Rhinolophus ferrumequinum: one gene and its partners. Each later gene encodes a partner of the first gene's protein in a complex. Links are inferred from orthologs where the notes say so. Each region holds a gene or a part of one and is shown in the gene's direction. Other genes may lie near its edges. The genes, in order: MED19, MED7 and MED18.

The links.
Region 2: MED19 (region 1) and MED7 share a complex: the UniProt entries of both Homo sapiens proteins name them as parts of the mediator complex. The link is inferred for Rhinolophus ferrumequinum from reciprocal best matches to the Homo sapiens genes MED19 and MED7.
Region 3: MED19 (region 1) and MED18 share a complex: the UniProt entries of both Homo sapiens proteins name them as parts of the mediator complex. The link is inferred for Rhinolophus ferrumequinum from reciprocal best matches to the Homo sapiens genes MED19 and MED18.

The regions. Positions count from the first base shown.
Region 1 is NC_046294.1:11,477,214-11,484,381, forward strand, and holds the start of MED19 (mediator of RNA polymerase II transcription subunit 19), read left to right. Parts: upstream 1-1,897; 5' UTR 1,898-1,981; coding exon 1,982-2,249; intron 2,250-5,961; coding exon 5,962-6,218; intron 6,219-6,384; coding exon 6,385-6,481; intron 6,482-6,789; coding exon 6,790-6,884; intron 6,885-7,058; coding exon 7,059-7,127; 3' UTR 7,128-7,168. Other genes in the region: TMX2 (thioredoxin-related transmembrane protein 2), read right to left, coding at 1,396-1,662. UniProt on the Homo sapiens protein: Component of the Mediator complex, a coactivator involved in the regulated transcription of nearly all RNA polymerase II-dependent genes.
Region 2 is NC_046307.1:27,383,679-27,390,846, reverse strand, and holds the start of MED7 (mediator of RNA polymerase II transcription subunit 7), read left to right. Parts: upstream 1-2,942; 5' UTR 2,943-3,077; intron 3,078-3,726; 5' UTR 3,727-3,788; intron 3,789-6,167; 5' UTR 6,168-6,184; coding exon 6,185-6,886; 3' UTR 6,887-7,168. UniProt on the Homo sapiens protein: Component of the Mediator complex, a coactivator involved in the regulated transcription of nearly all RNA polymerase II-dependent genes.
Region 3 is NC_046292.1:19,450,713-19,457,880, forward strand, and holds the start of MED18 (mediator of RNA polymerase II transcription subunit 18), read left to right. Parts: upstream 1-2,043; 5' UTR 2,044-2,234; exon of another isoform or gene 2,235-2,831; 5' UTR 2,832-2,900; coding exon 2,901-2,973; intron 2,974-7,168. UniProt on the Homo sapiens protein: Component of the Mediator complex, a coactivator involved in the regulated transcription of nearly all RNA polymerase II-dependent genes.

The DNA.
Region 1 (7,168 bases):
GAATCACGACAGAGTATCATAAAACATACTGCTAGCCTAGAAAAAGATCAAAATTCAAAACTCGAAGCATGGTTTCTACTGAATGTATATCACTTTCACACCACTCTAAAGTTGAAAAATCGTAAGTCAAGGACCATCTGTAGTTAAAAGAAAATTGTACCAGAGTAATAACAAAATATAAAACCTTCCAGTATTTTGCATACTAGAGTACACAGATAAATTAATTATATAAAATGTCCTTACACTTATTGAAATCTTTATATGTGTGTGTGTGTGCGTCTGTGTGTATACTTTTTTTTTCCTTGCTGTTTTTAGAGAATGTTTATCAGTTTATTTGAGCCCAAACTGTAACAACTGCTGGGAAGCCAGACTTTAAACGCGCCCTGCATTTATATTTTTGAGTCCCACTTTGGTTAGTGGTATATAATATCAGATAAAAACAGGAATCTTTTGCAGTAGCATGGCTACACTTGAGCTAATTAATAATACTGTCTGGGAAAGGGCAGAGGAAGTATGAAAGAGTAAACAAGGGATGGAGAATAAAAGTAAGGGAGTGAGTTCTGGTAAAGTTCAAGGCTCATTTTTGGGGGGAGGAATGGAAAAAAGACAAAAAACTCAGGGTGACCCTCCTTCCTCAGAACACAGATGCTGCCATACAGCAGAGGGCGTAGAGCTTCAGTTCATTTGTCTAAGTGGTCCCTTCACTCCTACTCAGGAAGTGCAGCAAGAGGCTTGAGACAGATTTCTTTAGGATGTTTTACAATTCCTTTCCGATAAGCCTAACAATTTTATTCATTTTGGCATCCTTATTCATTTTGGCAGCCTCGGGATGCACCACAGTGCCTAGCATATAGCACTCATTCAGGAAATGTTAACGAAGAAATGGGTGATTAAGAGTGTGCAGGTCCTATGGCCAGAAGAGAGGTTCCCAATCCCAGTCACCCACTCGTTGTGTGACCTAGGGCAAGTCTCCTAATCACGCAGAAATCATTTCTTCACCAATAAAAAGGAAATACTACTACTTGCCTTGTTTATCTACCCGGCTCCTTAAGTGGCTTTACACATGAGCAGCACTGTAAAAGACTGTACATAGGTGTGTAGAGTTTGGGGAGTGCTGTTGACGAGTATGAATGGTAAGATGAAAAAAACCCTGGACTCAAGAATCAGAAGGCCCAGGCTGTTATGCAGGCTAATCTGCTGTTTTCCCATCTTAATTAAACATGAAGAAATTTAGACTCGATGACGGTCCAGGCCCCATGCTCTTAATGGTAAGTCGGCTAGAGTTTGAAAAACTCAGGTGTGAGTTCTCAAAGACGGAAACTTCGGGGCCCCTGGATGCAATAGCGGGGGAAAGGACAGTCAAGGTCGCGGGGTCCTAAGGTGGGGGTCGCTCACCCAGTCAAAGTCACACGGGTTGCCATCTTCGCGTTGCGTGGGGAGAGTGTGGCAGAGCGGGGGCAGCTTCCTCACGAGAAGGAAGGCAGCAGAGAGCAGGGCAGACAGAAGGTAGTAAGGTCGGGCCAGCCATCGTGAAAGGCGCGGCACCGAATACACCAGAGCAATTAAAGGTGCCAGGACCGCCATCTTCTTGGCCCCGGGGCGCTCGCCGCTCTTCAGGGTCGATAAGTCTGGCCCCGCCTCTCCCACCATTGAGACTTCCATTGGGCCTAGTCTCGGATGCACCGCCTCCGGACCCGGAAGTGTATCTATGATTGGCCACTACAGTAGGGAGGACCTGAAAAACGGATTTCACACTTTATTGGTCAACCTAACTGTCGTTTTTTCCACCTAAGTCATTTTATTGGATATGTGACTGTGACGAGCGGAAACAACAGAGAAATTAATAGGGTGAGATAGCACATCCTGAACGTGCTCAGAAAGCGACGGAAGTAGTTGCCGGAAAAAGTAGGCGGGCCCCAAGACATCCAATGATAAGCGGCTCACGGAGGAAGAGGGCGGTACACCGTGAAAAGATTGTCCAATGAAAACCACTAGCGCCAGACACCCGGACAGCGCCGGAGTAGAGGGGAAGATGGAGAATTTCACGGCGCTGTTCGGAGCTCAGGCTGACCCACCCCCGCCTCCAGCCGCACTCGGCTTCGGACCAGGAAAACCTCCACCCCCGCCTCCCCCTCCTCCAGGCGGGGGACCTGGCACGGCTCCGCCCCCCACCACGGTCACGGCCCCTCCCGGCGCCGACAAGTCAGCAGCTGGTTGTGGTCCCTTCTACCTAATGAGGGAACTGCCAGGTGAGTACTAGGCCTGGCCGTAGCCAGCCAATCAGATCCTAAGGAGGGGGTGATGGGCGTGGGTCTTAGCCGGCCGGCGGAGGTGCAAGGTAACCTAGACAACGCGTGTTAGGCCCTTGGAGCTCTAAGTCCAAAGGCCTCTGAGAATTCACAACCAAACCGATGACGTGAGTCTTGGGGTGGATTCAAGGTGGGAAGAGAATGCATCTCCGTAACCATTTTTCACGCTATATCCGTTCGTTGTCCCTGACACTGGTTTATTATGGTTCCCTAAAAATTATCCAGAGTGAGTTTGGAACTCGAGAGTCCCGATTCAACATCACTGTGGTCCTGAGGTTTTCGTTTCAAATCTGTCACAAACTTGCTCTTGATTTGGAACATGTTACCCTCAGGGTCTCAGCGTTTCTTCATCTGTTTGAAGAAGTGACAGAATTAAATTAAATCAGATTCTTTCAGAAAGTGATTTTGTTGAGCATTTGCTGTGTACCACTGTTCTAAATGCTGAAGATACAACTGTGAACGAGACTGACAGGATCCTTGCTTTTTTTGGAGTTTACATTTCAGTGGGGGAACGCAGAGTAAACCAGATTAACAGCAGATAGTGGTTAGTGCTACAAGGAAAAAAAACACGTCAAAGAATTAAGGGGACACAACTACTTTAGCTAAAGTGATCAGAGAAGCCCTTGCTGAGTAGGTACCATTTGAGCTAAAATGGAAGCATAGAAAAAGAGCCAGCTATGTAGGAGTGAGAGGGATAATTCTAAATACAAGAAATGAAATCAGAAGCCCTGATGTGAGAAAAAGCTTGGAAAGGATAGAAAACCATTTGGACTCCAGTGACGTGAACAGGGAAAGAGTGACAGAAGATATAGGTGGGCCAGGCAGGCAGAGGCGTTTATAAAGCATTTAGATTTTAAGTTCAGGGGGAATCCATTTTAACACAGGATGGTGACATAATCTGACTTATTTTTAATCATTCAAGCAGCTACACAAGGGATGGAATGTGAGGGAATCAATCAGAAGTTAAACTGCTCAGTAATCCAGTTAAGAGATCATGGTTTGGACTAAATGATAGCAGTAGAGGACACAAATGAATGCATACAAGATAAGTTAGAGCTGACTGGAATGAAGGACTGAATATAAAAATAAGGAAGAGAGGAGTTAAGGATGACTTGTAAATTCTTGGCCTGAATAATTGAGCGGACGGTAGTATGGAGACCAGGAAGGAACAAGTTTGAAGAGGTGCAAGTCAAGAGTCATTCTGAACAAGTTAAGACTCCAACATGCCTTTCAGTTAATCCCAAGTCCTACTGCTACATCACCAGTCGAGGGAAATAATAATGAATTTAATACGTAGAATAGCCCTCTGAAGTAGACATTATCTTCACTTTATAGTTTAAAAAACAAGTATAAAGAGGTTGACTTCCCTTTGGTTGGTTGGTGGTTGATGTCTACCAGCAGTTTCTTTATCCTTACCAGTTCTGATTGTATCTCAATTAATTGACAGATGTTGAATAGATATTCTGGACAAACGCGGGGTGTGTAGAAAGGTGGGGGCATGTGGTGAGAAGAGAGATTAAAAGCTTATTTTACTTAGGGATGCAAATTATGTGGTTTGAGGACAGTGACCATATTTCTTGTCAAGGCCAATCTCATTACTTTGTGGTCATGCCTCACATAGGGCAACTATTAAGAACTACATGATGGTTTTCAAAATGTGTTCCTTGTTATCCAAAATGACAGCAAGAAGGGTGGCCAGTTAGCTCAGTTGTTTAGAGGGTGGTGCTGGTAGCACCAAGGTTGCCAGTTCGATCCCCACATGGGCCACTGGGAGCTGTGCCCTCCTTAAAAAAAAAAAAAGATGACAGCAAGAATAAGTTGTCACTTGACTGGACTTTGAAGAATTCATGTATTGGTGAGGAATATTAGGAAGAATTTTCCTATAATTAGGTCCTAACAGAAATTTTCCTGACAGAAATTTCTTAAAAGGAAACACTATGAGGGTGTTTTGTTTTTTTTTCAGGAGATAATGGAGACCCATTTTGGATGGATCAGAAAGTTTGCATAGGGGACTGATGGTTGAGTGGGCCCCAAAGCTAAGTTACAGTAAGATGTGTTTAACCATGAGTGCCAGTCAAAGGAATTGAGCTTTTTCCTGAGAGTAATAGGAAACCACTGATTTTTGAACTGAGGAGTATTGCTTCTAAAAATATCTCGAAAATGGGTGTGCCATGTATTGAAATAGAGAAACCATCAATGAAGTGAGGAAGATTCAGAGTTTTAAAAAAAAAATAGAATCTGCATGGAATTGACTAAGTGGAAGTTGGAAATACAAGATTAGTTTTCAGGAAAGGAGTCAGGGCCGGAGAGAGAGATTTATAAATCATCTTCATAGAACTGATAGAAAGTTGGATGGACTCAGAAATAGCAAAGTGCCGTTTCACCTGAGCCTTGAGCATAACCACCTGGAAGGAGGAGAGCTGACTGGGGCGGGGGAACTCAGGACACTGTAATGGCATAAGGTAGTGCCAAGTTATGAGGAAAGGCAGTGTGGCACTGAGCCTCTGATAGTAACAGATCACTTTTCTGAGATGTTTGATATGAAAATACAGAAAAAGAATAGGGTAATGCCTAGAGGTATGAAGGGAAAAAAATTCCTTGTTCATTTAATAGTTATTGAGCACCAAGTGTGGCTGGTTTGGGCATCAGCCATACATGAGTGAACAAGGCATTGTCTGCCCTCAGGGCTCACAGTTCAGAACCTGAGTTTTCCCAAGTGAAGGATTATAAACAAGCAACTTTTGTCATTTTACCCTTTGTGTTTATCATAACTCTAGATGAACTTGTAGGCTAGATATTCCCACCCTTGCCACTGGGATCCTTATTAAATTACTAATGAGTTTACATTATTTGGCAAAAGTCAGATATACAATATTTATGCTGAGATTGCCTCACATTTATATAATACTTTATATTTTTCAGTATGTTTTCATTTGAACCTTGCAAAAAAATTTAACGCACTTAAGATAGTTATTACCACATTCCATAGATAAGAAACTGAGGCATAGAGGACATCTAGGATTAGAATTCTAGTTGCCCAGCTTCTAATCAAACATTTCTTTTTTCTAGGCAAAGCATTATACTCATTATTATGAGGAGGAATAAAGATGGTGATAATAAGTTAGACAACAGTAGCTAGAAAAATCTCCTGGCTGTTTTTTCTGTGTAAAGGTGATCAGTGTTTGGAGAGAAAAAAAAGGAAGCCATTGGGTCATATTTGGCTCTTAGCTTGGTTGTAGCTGGGCTGTGAGGTACTACTATCCCGGTCGTGTTAGGGAGTATAATTTCGCACTATCCCTTTCTATGAAAAGCACTCAGATCAGTGTTCAGCACAGAGTAAGCATCATGGAAGTTATTGTGCTTAGTCCAAGGAGAGAAGTGTCTTCTTCTTTGGGTGAGAGCAGTTTCCATCTCTGCCCTATTTGGATTTTTGCCTTTTTTCCCCTCATTCCCATTCCAACCTACCCTTCTTTAGTATTGTGGTTTTAGTTCATGTTATTTACTTTTGCTATTATTTAAAAATAAATTTAAATATTTTAGTAATTCTCACTTGAAGGATTCCTTATTTAGGCTAAAATATAGTCCCTCTGGGTGACTTAACAATTTTCTACTCTTGGGACTAATATTTTATCCTCCTCCCTGTGTCCTCTAGGTAGCACCGAGTTGACAGGCAGCACCAACCTGATCACACACTACAACCTGGAACATGACTATAATAAATTTTGTGGGAAGAAAGTGAAGGAGAAGCTGAGTAACTTCCTGCCTGACCTGCCAGGGATGATTGATCTGCCTGGTTCCCATGATAACAGCAGCCTCCGCTCCCTCATCGAGAAGCCCCCTATTCTCGGTGGCTCTTTCAATCCTATCACAGGGACCATGCTGGCTGGTTTCCGCCTCCACACTGGCCCGGTGAGTCCCCTCTTGGGGAGGAAGAAGGCAAATGGGGAGGCCTGAAAGGCATGGAGGTAGTTTTTCTGTCCAAGTCTGTTCCTTCCTAACTTACTGAGCAGACCAGATGATGGGAGCAAGGGATTTCCTCACTCCACTCACCTGGACCTCCCTTTGGTTCCTTCAGTTGCCGGAGCAGTGTCGTCTGATGCACATTCAGCCTCCCAAGAAGAAGAACAAGCACAAGCACAAGCAGAGCCGTACCCAGGATCCTGTCCCCCCAGGTAAGAAGCAGTTCTGTTACAAAGCAGAAAACCTAACGTTCTGAATCTGGTTCAGCCTTCCTCAGTTAAAAACCCAGTTAAGTTCCTTATGGAGCCCTGGACTCCCAAATTCTCCTGAAAGAAGAAACTGATGTCCTGGGGTCTCCTGGGCAAGTAGGAGCTTGGGACGGGGCCTTAGCCGTGCCTTGGTAGCCTCTGGCCATTTGAAGAGAAGCATTTGCCCCTAACTAGGGCTTTTCTGTAGTCTGCAGAGTCCTAGGAGGGAATTTTGAGCTCTACAGGTGATAGGCGCCTAATGTCTCCTACAGAAACACCATCTGATTCGGATCACAAGAAGAAGAAAAAGAAAAAAGAAGAGGATCCTGAACGGAAAAGAAAGAAGAAAGAGAAGAAGAAAAAGAAGGTAGGGTAGAGGCCTGTTGCTGCAGCCCAGTGGGTCTCCCCATGTCTCACCCCGGTCCTACACCGAGTCCATGGCCTCAGGTTGGACCCAGAGCAGGTTACAGTGCTTTCCTGTACAGCCCTGATCCAGGCCAAGGCTACGTCCTAGTTTTTACCCCTCCTTTGTTTTCCCCAGAACCGACACAGTCCAGACCACCCAAGTATGGGCAGCTCTCAGGCCAGCAGCAGCAGCAGCCTGCGCTAACAGGACCACTGGACTCTGCCAGGATGACTTTTCCTACTGAA
Region 2 (7,168 bases), on another chromosome or scaffold:
CCAGGCTCTCGGCCTCACGTGTTGGGGTGCTGGCTCAGGTAGTAGATGGCCGTCAGCTGTGGCTAGTTGGCCGTCAGCTGTAACCAGTGAGCCATTGGCCACTAATATAATTGCCATGGCTTTGCTAGCAGAAAAATTGGGGCCTAGCAAGAAGATGGTGGCTGAGCTAGCAAGAGTGGATTGCAGAGAGGCGGATGCTGCCAGCGAGAATATAGTGGTATGACTCCCCTATTTATGGCTCCGTGAGTGTTCCTTTTTGGCCTCACCATATCCTGCGTTCTTGTGTGGGGAGCGGGAGCTGAGACCCCGCAGGCCGCCCTACACGACAGTATAGTAAGGGAATTGGGGCATCTCTCAAGAGAATGCTTGGGAATGTGTTATTTTATATCGGATGACAAGGGAAGACCTCTCTGAGAAGGTCACATTTGTCCAGAGACCTGAATGAAGTAAAGAAGGAAGGAAGGCATGTGAATCTCTGTAGAAGGAGGGTTCCAGAAAAATGCAATGGCCCTGAGGCAGGAATATGCTTGGCAATTTTGAGGGAACAGAATAAAACTTATAGCTGGAGAAAAGTGAGCAAGAGAAAAAATGGTAGGAGATATGATTGGAGAAGTCGGCAGGGACTAGATTCTGTAGGGCCTTACATAGGCTATATTGAGAACATTAGATTTTATTGTAAATATGATAGAAAACCATGAAGAATTTTGAACAGAGGACTGGTCAGATCTATCTTATATTTTAAGACAGTGTGGTAAGTAGGCTAAGGGAGGACAAAAGTGGAAGCAAGGAAGCCATTTAGGAAGCTATTGCAGAAGTCTAAGGGACATAATGGTGGCATGGACTAGGAATATAGCAGTGGAGATGGTGAAAATGAGTTATACTGTATTGGGGACTTTTACTTGTTTCTAAATAGAACTAATACAAAAGGCTGTTATGGTAGTTTTGAAAGAGTATGGGAGAAAGAGTAAAAGATGAATCTTTAGATTTGAGCTTTTGCAATTGAGTGAAGTGAAATTGAGTAAATATGTGGAATACTGTTGGATAAGGGGATCTGACTGCAAAGGAGAGGGTGTTGCCAGAGCCTGCATATCACCTGGATGTTATCACCTGGATGATATCCCACTAAAAAGTAAAAATTGAGTCCTGGGTCAATTCAAATGATCAAATATGCCCAATGTTGCTGAGAGTGGAGTAAAATGAGAACTAAGAATGACCATTGGAGGTCACAGGTGTGGGTCACATTGATCTTTGGTGGGGAGAGATGCCTGATTAGGGTATGCTCAAAAGTGAATGGATTTCTTCAACAAATAAATTGATATGGGAGGAAAATTGAGGTGAGGGCAGGAAACTATAGATTAAAACATAATTAAAAGACATATTAGCCAGTCACAAAAGGGGAGGGTTTTATTGGATCCTGAGGCAATTGGTGTCCAAATGTTGACTTGATTTTGATGCTATTCAGCAACTATTTATTTTAAAGTGAGTTCTGTGTTATATGAAAAAAATGAGAGTCCTTATCTTTCAGTGATGCTTGTGGAAATAAAATAATATCTATAAGTAGATAAGTGTTGAAGTTGGGTGATGAGTACACCGTTCTCTCTACTTTTTTGTGTGAACCCTGAGAAAGAAAATATCTTCCAAGGACTCATCATGGTTAACTGGGTACAAATTCATAACCAGAGTCTAGCAGCCATTGCCTACAGAAGCCCCTCAGGTACTCTACATCTCAGGGGAAAAACACAGTGTCTTGTACTGTGTTCCTGCCTGTGAGTCAAGCCTTATAAAGGAGTTCCTGGTATAGTCTTTCCACCAATGGGCTGAAACCTGCCCTGTCCAATGGGAATTGCACAGCTATAGTTTCATTTGCAACTTTACTGACCAATCAGAGCAAGTCCATAACAACCAATAGGAACGTGTAATTCCGACCAATCAGGACAGTGCTATTTAGACCAATCAAACTCTATAAATTTTGATCCCTCATTTGCATAGAAATGGACCAATCAGGGACTAGAGCAGGAACTTTATAATATAAAGTGGCTTCTCCTCTGTGTTTGTTTCCGGGTGGGGTGCAATTTAGGTTTCCTATGTGTTTCCCACTTTTGCAAACTGTTTACCTGAGCAGTTTCTCCTCTTACTGCACCCTAGACTGAGGACTCCTGTTGGCATTAAATTGGTGGCAGTGACCTTTTGCTGACATTTGGAACTCTCCATAGAAGTTTTTAAGAAATAAAATCAAAGACTCTTATTTTAAAGAGGTAAAATTGAGAACTTCTACCAGAATAACAAACTTACTTTTTACGTGCAACATGCTCTTGTAAGATTCCCATGAATTTAGAAATTTGTGACACTTCTAATGAAAATAACCTCCAAAAGAAAACTTTAAGTCTGTTTTTTTTTTTTTAAACGTGCTAATTTGTTGCCCGGAAATAATATAGACATCTCTTAATCCCTAAACAAAAATAAAAGTGAACGGTGAAGAAAAGGAAATTGAAAATGTATTATTGATTCCCAATCACGGTCACAAATACTTCCAGATTCATATATATATATATATATAATATATGGAACATATATAAAAATATATATATATACACACACACATATATATCACATAGAATCCAATCTCATCTTTTAAAATATTTTTGACAGTGGGGTTAATTAGAATCGACATAGTTTTTAAAAATATCTGCTCATCTGTATTTTCTAACTTTTATGTAAGACATATAGATGCCTCGTTTAATTTAAAAAAAAAAGAAAAGAAAAAAGAAAAGAGAAACGGAGCTACCAGCTGCGACGTTTACTGATAGAAGCCAGTACAGAGAGGACCTAGCCTACTTTAAACCCCGCCGGCGATCACGCCACCCAATGGAACTCAGCGGGAATGAGGCGCCAGGGTAGGCGCATGCGTAGTAGCGAGCCAGCGGTCTGAGGCGGGGCTAGAGCCTCGGTTAAAGGACAGCTCTTTCAGTCAATAAAGAAAGAGCGTCAGTGAGTTTTTCCTGGAAGACGACGCCGGAAGTAGAATTTCGGCGGCGGTGGCGAAGGACGCTACCGGAGTAAACAAACCCAGAGCTGAGGTGAGTGGGCGGCGACGGTTTGGGGCTCCGTTCCGCGCGTGTTTCTCTTTCCGGACCCCGAGACTTTGGGCGGATTGGGAATGGGGGGCTGGCGCGCAGTGAGCTCGCTCGCCTTCCTCTCCCGCGTCCCCTCTGAGAGCGCGGCCTCCCCGCCGCTCGTGGACAGCCCGGGCTCGGCGCTTCCTCCGTGTGGGAGGCCGCGCTGGACCGGAGCTTGGGAGACGTGGGTTCTAGTCCCGCGCCGCCGGTTTGCTAAGCGGTGTGGCCTTGGCGAGTTATTCGGTCTCTCCGGCCTTTGTAAGAGGAGGATGCCATTCCTCTCTTTCCTCTTCAGGGAACACCCCAAGGCTAATCGTCAAAAGGATCCTCTGAGAGGTTTTAAAAATTACTTTGTTAGCAGCCCCATTCACTGTAGACAAAGTGAAGCAGATGACATGACGGGGCGGGGGGGGCCCTGGAATGCCTTTCTTTTTTTGTTAAGCCCCCCAGAAAGGAGCAAACTGGAGGGTGGCTCTTGAGTCTGATCACCGGCTAGGATACCTGGTATTATTTTTACCAAAGACCTCTATCGCTTTTGAGTAGTTCAGTCGAGAGAAGTAATGGAGAAATAAACAGAATTTCTGTAACATATCAAGTTCCTTTTGTACAGTTAGAAGCTTCACAGTTTACTGATTTCAAAGAACTTGTGCTGCGCAGCTAAAAGGACCAGAGGTAAGAATTCCCGCTGTGTACCATTTACTAACCTTGTGATCTGGTGCAAACATTTCCCCTCATGGAGACTTGGGATCCTTATCTCTAGTGAAAATAATAATAGTGCTTCACTCAGAATTGTTCTGAAGATTAAGTAAGAGAACATAAAACAATGGTACCTGTCATGTAGTCGGTCTTTGGAAAATGGCAACTTAAATACTAGAGGAAGGCACGTGGTGCTGGGAAGCACAAAACAGGACTCACAACCTAAAAAGGCTTGCGTGGGGTGAAACCTGGGCTGTCTAACATTTCCGTTGAAGTGCCAGGTCAATGCTAATTCTCTGATTTGGTAATTAAATTCCTTAAAAGAGAACATTATGGTTGGGGGATATTTGAGGGTAATAGGGCGAATAAGGAAAATGTTAACATTTGGAGAATCTGGGTGAAGAACACAGATGTTCTTTGTGCTATTCATACAGTGTTTCTGTAAGTCTGAATTTCTGTTAGAAAGTTTTAAAAAGTTGATTGTAACTGTTTGCAACTGTCATAAGTTTGTAAATAAATGAAACAGTACACAGTGTTTGTAAATAAAGCCCCACCCCATGCACTCACTTGCACTCCTTTTTCCTTAATGGCTGTATTGTATTATGTAGACATCTTTTATCCAGCCTTCATATAGATAAAACCATGGATTAATTCCAACTTTTCCTACTCTTTTCAAGCAGTGCTACGTTAAACATATTTATACAAATTTTTTTGTGTGTGTGCTTGTGCCAATACTTTTATAAGATAAATACCTAGAAATAGAATTGTTGGTTCAAAGAATATCATCATTAAAATTTTTGGTACTGCCAAATTAAATTCCAAATATGTATTTGTTTCCTTTTCTATCAATTGTGAATGAGAATTTCCTATATTCTCTCGGGTGGTACTGGCCTACCACCTACAAGTGTTACGTGGTAGTCCTTATGGTGGCTTCCATGAGAGCTAAGGTGAGTGGATGCTCTCCATCCCAGAAGGCTTCTCTGACAGGCCAGGATAGCTAAAAGCCTGCTAATAAAATTGGGGTAGCCACTCTGAAGAAACTGAGAGGTAGGAGAGTTTGTGACCTCTGTTAGAATCCAGGACCTGCCACATAGAAGGTGTTCTTATATTTGCTGAATGATGGAATATTTGAAATCTTGATAGTCTGTTAGATGAAAGCTATCCTTTTAAAAATTTGCTTTTAAAAGTACATTAGTCTTAAGTTTCCCACCTTTATTTAACATTTGCATTTTTCTTGTCCTTTTTGCCTATTTTCTTTTTTTAATGTAGACTTAAAACTCATTCAGTGGACCTTTATAAGTATCTAGCACCTTCTAGGCATTGTTTGAGGTGCTGGAGGTGAATTGTGAATGAGATAGGCAATTCCTGAAGTCATAGTACTTTCCTTCTAGTGGGGATGGAGTCAGAAAACATGTTTTTAAAAAAATCAAAATAAAATTTCTAATATTTGGTCTTTGTTAGTTTGCAAGCATTCTTCTCCCAGAAAGATGGGATTACCTTTTATTTTTGCTTATGAGATATTTTCCTATATGGAATTTTTAGATTGATTTATTTTTATTAAATTTATTGGGGTGTCGTTGGTAATTAATAACATTATATAAGTTTCAGATGTACATTTTCATAATACAACATCTGTATATTCTATTGTGTGCCCACCACCCAAAGTCTAATCTCCTTCCGTCACCATATATTTGACCCTTTATCCTCTTTATCCTCCCCCCAACCCTCTTTCCCTTTGATAACCACCATTCTTTTGTCTGTTAGATTTATTTTTGGTAGGTAGATCTATTGGCCTTAAAACGTATTTATTTTCTTGATAACTTGTAAGCAACACTGGGATGGAGGCAGTGTTTTTTGTTTATCCTTGAAAGGTAGTTAGTGTAGTGTTTGAGATCTTTAGGCTCTGGATCCTTCCTCTAGTATTTACACTATGACTTACCACAAGTGGTTCAACCTTTTTGAGCCACAGTTTTCTCATCTCTAAAATGGAAAGAGCGCCTTTCTTTTCTCAGATTTCTCACAACCATGAGAAAAGTATTTAGAGCAGTGTCTGTACATAGTATGTACTCAAATATTATCTGTCATCATAATCTATGTATAGTCATTGTCATACCAAACAATAAATTTATGAAGGAATGAGTACACATTAAAGATGTTTGTACCTACTTCCAAATTCCCATTGATTTGGAGCCCTATTGAAATGGGTGGAGCTCCTCAACAAATATTTATGAAGCTCCTGTGTATAAGGTTGTGAACGCAGTGAGGACTGTGATTGTCAAAAATTCTGTCTCTAGTCACCCAATGTGACAGGTTTGTTTTGTACAGGTACTCTAAATCTTTGGTCTATTTCTGTAGGTTATTGATCTTCCACAATGGGTGAGCCACAGCAAGTGAGTGCCCTTCCACCACCTCCAATGCAGTACATCAAGGAGTATACAGATGAAAATATTCAGGAGGGCCTAGCCCCCAAGCCTCCACCTCCAATAAAAGACAGTTACATGATGTTTGGCAACCAGTTCCAATGTGATGATCTTATCATCCGCCCTTTAGAAAGTCAGGGCATCGAACGGCTTCATCCTATGCAGTTTGATCACAAGAAAGAACTGAGAAAACTCAATATGTCTATCCTTATTAATTTCTTAGACCTCTTAGATATATTGATAAGGAGCCCAGGGAGTATAAAACGAGAAGAGAAGCTAGAAGATCTTAAGCTGCTTTTTGTACATGTGCATCATCTCATAAATGAATATCGACCCCACCAAGCAAGAGAGACCTTGAGAGTCATGATGGAGGTGCAGAAACGTCAACGCCTTGAAACAGCTGAGCGGTTTCAAAAGCATCTGGAACGAGTCATTGAGATGATTCAAAATTGCTTAGCTTCTTTGCCTGATGATTTGCCCCATTCAGAAGCAGGGATGAGAGTAAAAACTGAACCAATGGACGCTGATGATAGCAACAATTGTACTGGACAGAATGAACAACAAAGAGAAAATTCAGGTCATCGAAGAGACCAGATTATAGAAAAAGATGCTGCCTTGTGTGTTCTAATTGATGAAATGAATGAAAGACCGTGAAGGATGTTTCTTCTTCTTCTTTTTTCCCTTTCAGTAAATAGCATCATATATTAGTTAATTTGCTCTTGAAGAGTCTACAAGAGAGATGAGTAGGAATTATGTAAACAGCTTCACTTTCCAACTTTATCAATTAGGAGATGTCACAGACAGTAGTTTCACTTTGTGGCAAACATAGACAAATGAGTATGATGACATTCAGAGGCATCAGCTGAAAAATCACAGTGCTGCTGTTGGGTGGACCATTCCTGTTTTTGGAGTTGCAGTAAATGTTGAAGATAATCC
Region 3 (7,168 bases), on another chromosome or scaffold:
CCTAACCGGAAAATAAGCCCTAGAATGATTTTTCAGGATGACATCCTCTGAACATCCCCCTAACGTGTCTTTTGGAGCAAAAATTAATATAAGACCCAGTCTTATTTTGGGGGAAACACGGTATTGTTCCTTCAGGTTACTTTAGGCATTAATTACTTTATTATTATTATTATTATTATTTATTATTTTATTGGGGAAGGGGAACAGGACTTTATTGGGGAACAGTGTGTACTTCCAGGACTTTTTTTTTTTTCCTAAGTCAAGTTGTTGTCCTTTCAATCTTAGATGTGGAGGGTGCCATTCAGCTACAAGTTGTTGTCCTTTCAGTCTTAGTTGTGGAGGGCGCAGCTCAGTTGCCATTGCTAGTTGCAGGGGGCGCAGCCCACCATCCCTTGCTGGAGTCAAACCGGCAACCTTGTGGTTGAGAGCCCACGCTTCAACCAACTGAGACATCTGGGAGCTCAGTGGCAGCTCAGCTCAGGTGCCATGTTCAATCTTAGTTGCAGGGGGAGGAGCCCACCATCCCTTGACGGACTCGAGGAATTGAATTGGCAACCTTGTGGTTGAGAGCCCACTGGCCCATGTGGGAATCGAACCAGCAGCCTTCGGAGTTAGGAGCAGGAGCTCCAACCACCTGAGCCACCGGGCCGGCCCCCATTAATTACTTTTTTAAAAAATAAATTTTATTGGGAAATATTGGGGGACAGTGTGTTTCTCCAGGCCCCATTAGCTCCAAGTCGTTGTCCTTCAATCTAGTTGTGGAGGGCGCAGCTCAGCTCCAATTCCAGTCGCTGTTTTCAATCTTTAGTTGCAGGGAACACAGCCCACCATACCAACCAGCAACCTTGTTTTAAGAGCTCACGCTGTAACCAACTGAGCCATCCGGCCACCCCAGCATTAATTACCTTTTCCAGGAATCCTCCCCTGATGCCCCCAAGATGAATCAAGCAAACTGGTTGTTTCCCAAGCAGCTGAGCTATTTATATTCCATTATCCTATTAAATCGAATCACATGGTACTGTCTCCGTTTAATTCTGATTGCCACAACTTGCCCATAAACCCTTTTGAGGGCAGAGATAAAGTCAACAACAGTTAACAGAATGTCTAGAACACAACAGACTTTCAAGAAATATTCAATTTAAAAAAATGAATGAATGGGCAGTAGTATAGATTCCAGTGGGGGAGCTAGAGCTAGAAGTGTCCGTTTAATGTAATAATTTAAGAGCTTGGGCTCTGGAATCAGCAGCTTAGATCTGTATCCCTGCTTCTCCACTCCCTCGCACGTTTTTTAACTTCTTGCCTACGTCTCCCCATCTGTAAAATTACAGGAATACTTGGCTTCTAGGGCTGCTGTGAAGATCCAAATTTGAAATTTTGATATTTTGTTCATTAATGGTTTTTTGGTATTAAATTTGTAAAATGTTGCATTAAAGTATTATTTATCTTAGTTACTGAGTTTTTTGGTGTCCCCTTAAATTTTTTGCTCCAGGAGAGTGCCTCATTCACTTAACTTTAGTCCCCACTTTGTCCGCCCTCTCCTATCTGCATGACACATAAGTAGCGTTCAATAAATACTCGTTGAATTTACTTAACACTCTATATTTTTAAATTGAAGTTAAAATATACACAGTAAAGTGAACAAATATTAAGTGTATTGTTGAGCTCTTTAATTGTTCAGAACATTATGCTAAGCAGCAAATGTCTTTTCTTTTCACCTTCAGGTACCCAACAAAAAGTCTTTGTTTTATAAATAGTCTCTCTTTATTCTGCAGCTCCCTTCCCCAGGCTCTCTTCCCCCCCTCGTCAGTTCCAAGAGATTTCCTAGACAAAAACATCTCCAGGTCGTCGAACTAGAAAAAAAAAAAAATGTCCTGGAGGACAGCCTATGACGTCAAGGTTTTCCCTCCACCCCGTAACTCCCAGAAGAACGCTTCCACGGAGGCCGCCATCTTCCAAGCAGCAGTGTCGCATCTTGCGCATGCGCTTCTGCTTGCCGGTCAAAGAGCGATTTCAAGCCCTGTCGGTACCCTTAGGCTGCGCGGCGGCGGCGGCGGTGGGGAGGTTTGTACTACGTCGGCTTCTTGGCCGGAAGCGAGAAGAGGAGGAAGGAGTGTTGCAATGTCCAGGGGTTTGAATTTTAAGGCGGGGGGCTAATTGTCGCTCTTAAGCTTAGAAATGCTTGGGTAGATATAATTCTCCGCTTTATGAGAAGAGGGTAGAGCGCGCACGGAGGTGTAAGTGGTCACGTGTTCTCGATGCTGGTTTAGGAGCACCTAAACCATCATCTTAACTTCGCGCTTCCGCCTGGCTCGCTTTAAAAGCCGTTTTCAGAGAGGCGGAACGCCCGGATTTTATTCTGGTGCGCGCTCTGCTACCAGTTGACTGTGTCCTTGGGCTCTTCTCCGCTGCTCAGTATCCTTCCTCATCTATATATTGAAGGACAGGCAAGTCCCTTAGTCACCGTTCAGTTTTTCTGAGTATTATTATATGTCCATTATGTCATCTGAGCCAGAAAGTCTTGGGGGCTAAATATCGTTGACCCCATTTTACAAGGAAGACGTTGAGTCCCAGGGTGAGAGGTTTGATGACTTCTTCAAGATTGAACAGAACGTTTGTAAAGATTTCAGACCTTGAGGGTAGAAAATTGTGCTCTAACTCCGTGGTCGGGTTTCCTTTGTGTATTTCTATATCATTAGTTCCTGAAACTGGACCATAGCAGTTACTCAAAAAGTTTTGAGTGAACCAGTGAATCTTGATGTTAAGACCAATGACAGAAGCAGATCTGGTGTCTTTACCTCTCTGATGTACTAAGTAGTGTAATTCTTCTCCAGGTGTATCCTGTGCTTTTCTTGATTGGGGACTCGGAATCCAGTCTAAATTCTTCAACTTAATTAGACACCATGGAGGCACCTCCGGTCACCATGATGCCTGTCACTGGAGGCACCATTAACATGATGGAGTACCTGCTGCAGGGTAAGTGAACCTGAGCGCTTGGATTACCTGTTTTCCTCTTTTCTGTTCAGCTTCTGTGGAGATGAGAGCCTGTTAGGCCAAAGCAGCCTGCGTAACCCAATAGACTTTTTTAAAAAAGTTTACTTTTATTTATGGTCACAAACGCATAACGTTAAATTTACCATCTTAAACATTTTCACATCTACAGTTCAGCAGTGTTACGTATATTCACATTGTTGTATAGATGATCTCTAGAACTTTTTCATCTTGCAAAACTGCAACACTATACCCATGAAACACTTAATTCCCCTCCTTCCCACCCCCAGCCCTTGGCAACCACCTTTCTACTTTCTGTTTTTGATTTTGACTACTTTAGATACCTCCTATGAGTGGAATCATAGAACTTTAGTCTTTTTATGACAGACAGGCTTATGTCACTTAGCCTCAAGTCATCCATATTGTAGTATGTGACAGGATCCCCTTCTTTAAGGCTGAATAATATTCAATTTTATGTATATACCACATTTCTTTACCTGTACATCTGTTGATGGACATTTGGATTGCTTCCACCTCTTGGTTATTGTGAATAATGCTGTAATCAACATGCGTGTGCAAATATCTCTCCAAGATCCTGCTTTGAATTCTTTTGGATATATACCCAGAAGTGGGATTGCTGGATCATATGGTAATTCTATGATACTCTTATTAGTTAGCTCCATCTTATAGATCAGGAAACAGGTAAAGTAACTTGCCCAGAGGAGAAAACTCGAGACCCAGAAAGGTTAATGATTTTCAGAAGGTCATATAATGTTTAGTGAAAGAGTTTAGGCTTTAATTCAGATCCTTCATTTAGTAACTTCATATGAACAAAATAGGGTTATTAATTTTCACTCCTCAAGCTCCTCCTCTTTCGGTCTTTCCCGTTTTGGTAAGAGCCACTGCCATTCACCAGTTGCTTGAGCCAAGCATTCAGGAGTCAATCTCCATTTTTTCCTTTATCCTACATCTAGTATATCTCTAAGTCCTATTCATTTTACTTCCAAAATATACTTTAAATGTGTCTTTTCTCCACCTGCAGTACCACACCCTGGTTTATCATCCCTGAATTGTTTTAGCAATCTCTCACTTACTACATTGCTTCTACTTTTGATCATTTCTTCTCACACAATAGCTAGTCATCTTTTAAAAACTTGTTTTATTATTCAAAAATTCAAACATATAGAAAATAGAGACTATTATAGTAGACACTACATTTCCATCATCTAGATTTCAGTTTCCATAATTTTGCCATATTTGCTTCATCTTTTTTCTTTTGCTGTTTTTAAAGAAAATTTCAGACCTCATAACATTTTATCCCTGGACACTTCAGTATACATCTCTTTAAAAAAAGTATATTTTCCTTCATAACCCCAATACCATCATTATTATCTTAAAAAATGAATAATATATTTTTAGTATCATCTAATACCTAGTCTATATTCAAAAATTTCCCCCTAATTGTCCCAAAAATGTGATTTGTAACCAGGATGCAATCAGGTTTAATGCATTACGTTTGATAATTGTGTCTTTTAAGTCTTTTAATTTGGACCAGTCTACCTTTGCCCCCACTTTTTTCCCCCATGACTGTGTCTTGGTGGAGTCCATCAGTTTTCCTGGAATTAGTTATTTTTATTTTTATTGGGGAATATTGGGGAACAGTGTTTTTCCAGGACCCATCAGCTCCATGTCAAGTTGTTGTTTCCTCATTGTTTTCAATCTAGTTGTGGAGGGTGCAGCTCACTGGCCCATGTGGGAATCGAACCTGCGACCTTGGTGTTAATGAGCACCACACTCTAACTACTGAGCCAGTCAGCTGCCCTGGAATGATCTTTTTAAGATGTAAATCTATTCATGTCTTTCCCTATTGTGTGGAGAATAAAATGTGGAACTAATAGCTGCCCAATGACCTTAGAATAAAATGCAGCCTTTATCATGGACCATATGTAAGGCCTGCAGGCTTTGGCCCATGGCAATTCCTCATTTCATTATCATTTGCCATCTCACTCACTACACTTCAGCCACACTGATATCCTTTCATTTCCTTAAGTTCCTCAGGCCCTTTTCTTATTCTGTGCTTTTGCATTTGATTATCCCTCTGCCCCAATACCTTTTTCAAATAAACACCTTATTTTTATCCTGGTCGCAGCTCAGTTGTCATTCCCTTAGATCTCTCACTATTCCAACCCCTCAGGGAGGTGTCTTTCTCCACCCCCACCCGTTGTTCTCTAACCCATCTCCCTTTTACTTCTTTGTGTGTCTGTTTATATGTTTACTTAATTATTTTTTATTTTCCCCTACTAAACTGTAGTTTCTGTGAGGGCAAGCCCCCTACTTCCTAGCATAGCTTGGCAAAGCATTCAATGAGTATACTTTGAATGAACCAACGCTTACAAAGCTCATCAACTGTTTGAAGAATGAACAAACATATTTTTGATACTGTCCTAAATATATGCTACAATGTATCAAATGTAGGATCCATTTCCTGCTCCGGTGATCTTGTGCTATGATAACTGAGACCTAATCTGTTGCTTTTCCTTCAACATTACCAATTTCCAAAAATTTAGTCAAGTGAGTCCTCCTATCAATATTTTCCACAGTTACGATCATATACTCTATTTGCTTTATTACTCTATTAACAGATGTATTCAATAAATATTTGAATGTGTTCCTACCATTGGAGTATCAGAAATGGAGGAAGAAAGATAACAAAATCAATCCATAATTAATATATTAAAGGATGACTAAACCAAAGGTGGTAATGTTAAAGAAAAATAAAGCAGGGAAGTGGGAAGAAATTGAAGGAAAATATACTATTTTTTTTAGGGTGATCAGAAAGATCTCTCTAATAAAATAACACTTGAGAAAACATCTAAAGAAAGTCATGAGATGAGGTATGCAGATATCTGAGAGAAGAATATTCTAAGCATAGGGACTAAAGGATGGGGGACTAAAGAGAAATACTTTGTCAGATACTTGGCATTTTCAGGAAATAGCAGGAAGATCGCTGTAGCTGGAGAGCGTGAACTAGGTAGGGGGGATAGTGAGAGGAAATGATGTTGGAGAGGTAGCAGAGACCACAATCTATAGGGCCTTATAGACGATGGTAAAAACTTTGGGATTTATTCTGAATGGCGTGGGAAGCCACTGGAGGGTTCTGAGCAGAGGAATGTCATTATCTACCTTTTGTTCTAAAAAGACCACTTGTCAGTTGTATGGAGAAGAGAGGGAGAAGGCAAGGGTAGAAGCAGGGTATTGCAAAGACCAGTCAAGAAATGAAGGAGGCTTGGACTAGGTGGAAGTGACTGAGGGAGTGAGAAGGGTTGGATTCTGCATATATTTAAAAATTTTTGATTGGATGTAGGATATGGGAGAAAGAAGGGAGTCGAAGATGATTCTGTAGGTTTTGGCCTGGGCAACTGGAAATAGAGAGTTGCCATTTACTCTGCTGGGGAATACTGCAGCAGGAATAAGATTGTGTGGAGGAAAAATCAACAGTTTGATATTGAACATATCTAGATGAAGATGTGTGTTAGGCATCCAAATGGAGAAGTTGAGTGGACAGTTGGATTGAGTGGATAGTTAGATGTATGAGTCTGTAGTTCATGAGATATCAACGTGGGAGTCCTCAGGACATAAATGATATTTAAAGCCATAGGACCTAGTTAGGTCACCTAGGGAGGCGAAATTGTTGCTAGAGAAGAATAGTAGAGTCCTAGGAGCCTCCAATATTTTGGGAAGATAAGGAAGACCAAGCAAAGAAGACTTAAAAGGAATGATCAGTTAGGTGAAGAACCAAGAGAAAGTTGTGTCCCAGAGGCCAAGGGAAGAATAGATTTGAAAGTGGGTATGATCTGTCCCAACTATGTCAAATGCTGCCAGGAGGATGAATAATATGAGAACAAAAATCAGTATATTTCTATGAAGCAGTTAATTATCTTTTACTTAAATATATTACATAGCAAGGAAATGTTATATTTCTCCTATAAATAGAAAACCTGTTTGCTGGAAATTAAGATAATTTTTAAAATAAATGACAACAAAACAGTATTACTACATTCTAGATAGATTCTGTTTACCTGTTAAAGGTTCTGGGCCCAAAGCTTGTTGGAGGTGAACGTTGTTACAGAAGGCCTAAAGACTTTTTAGTACCAAATAAGACAATGCAAAAAATCGAAAA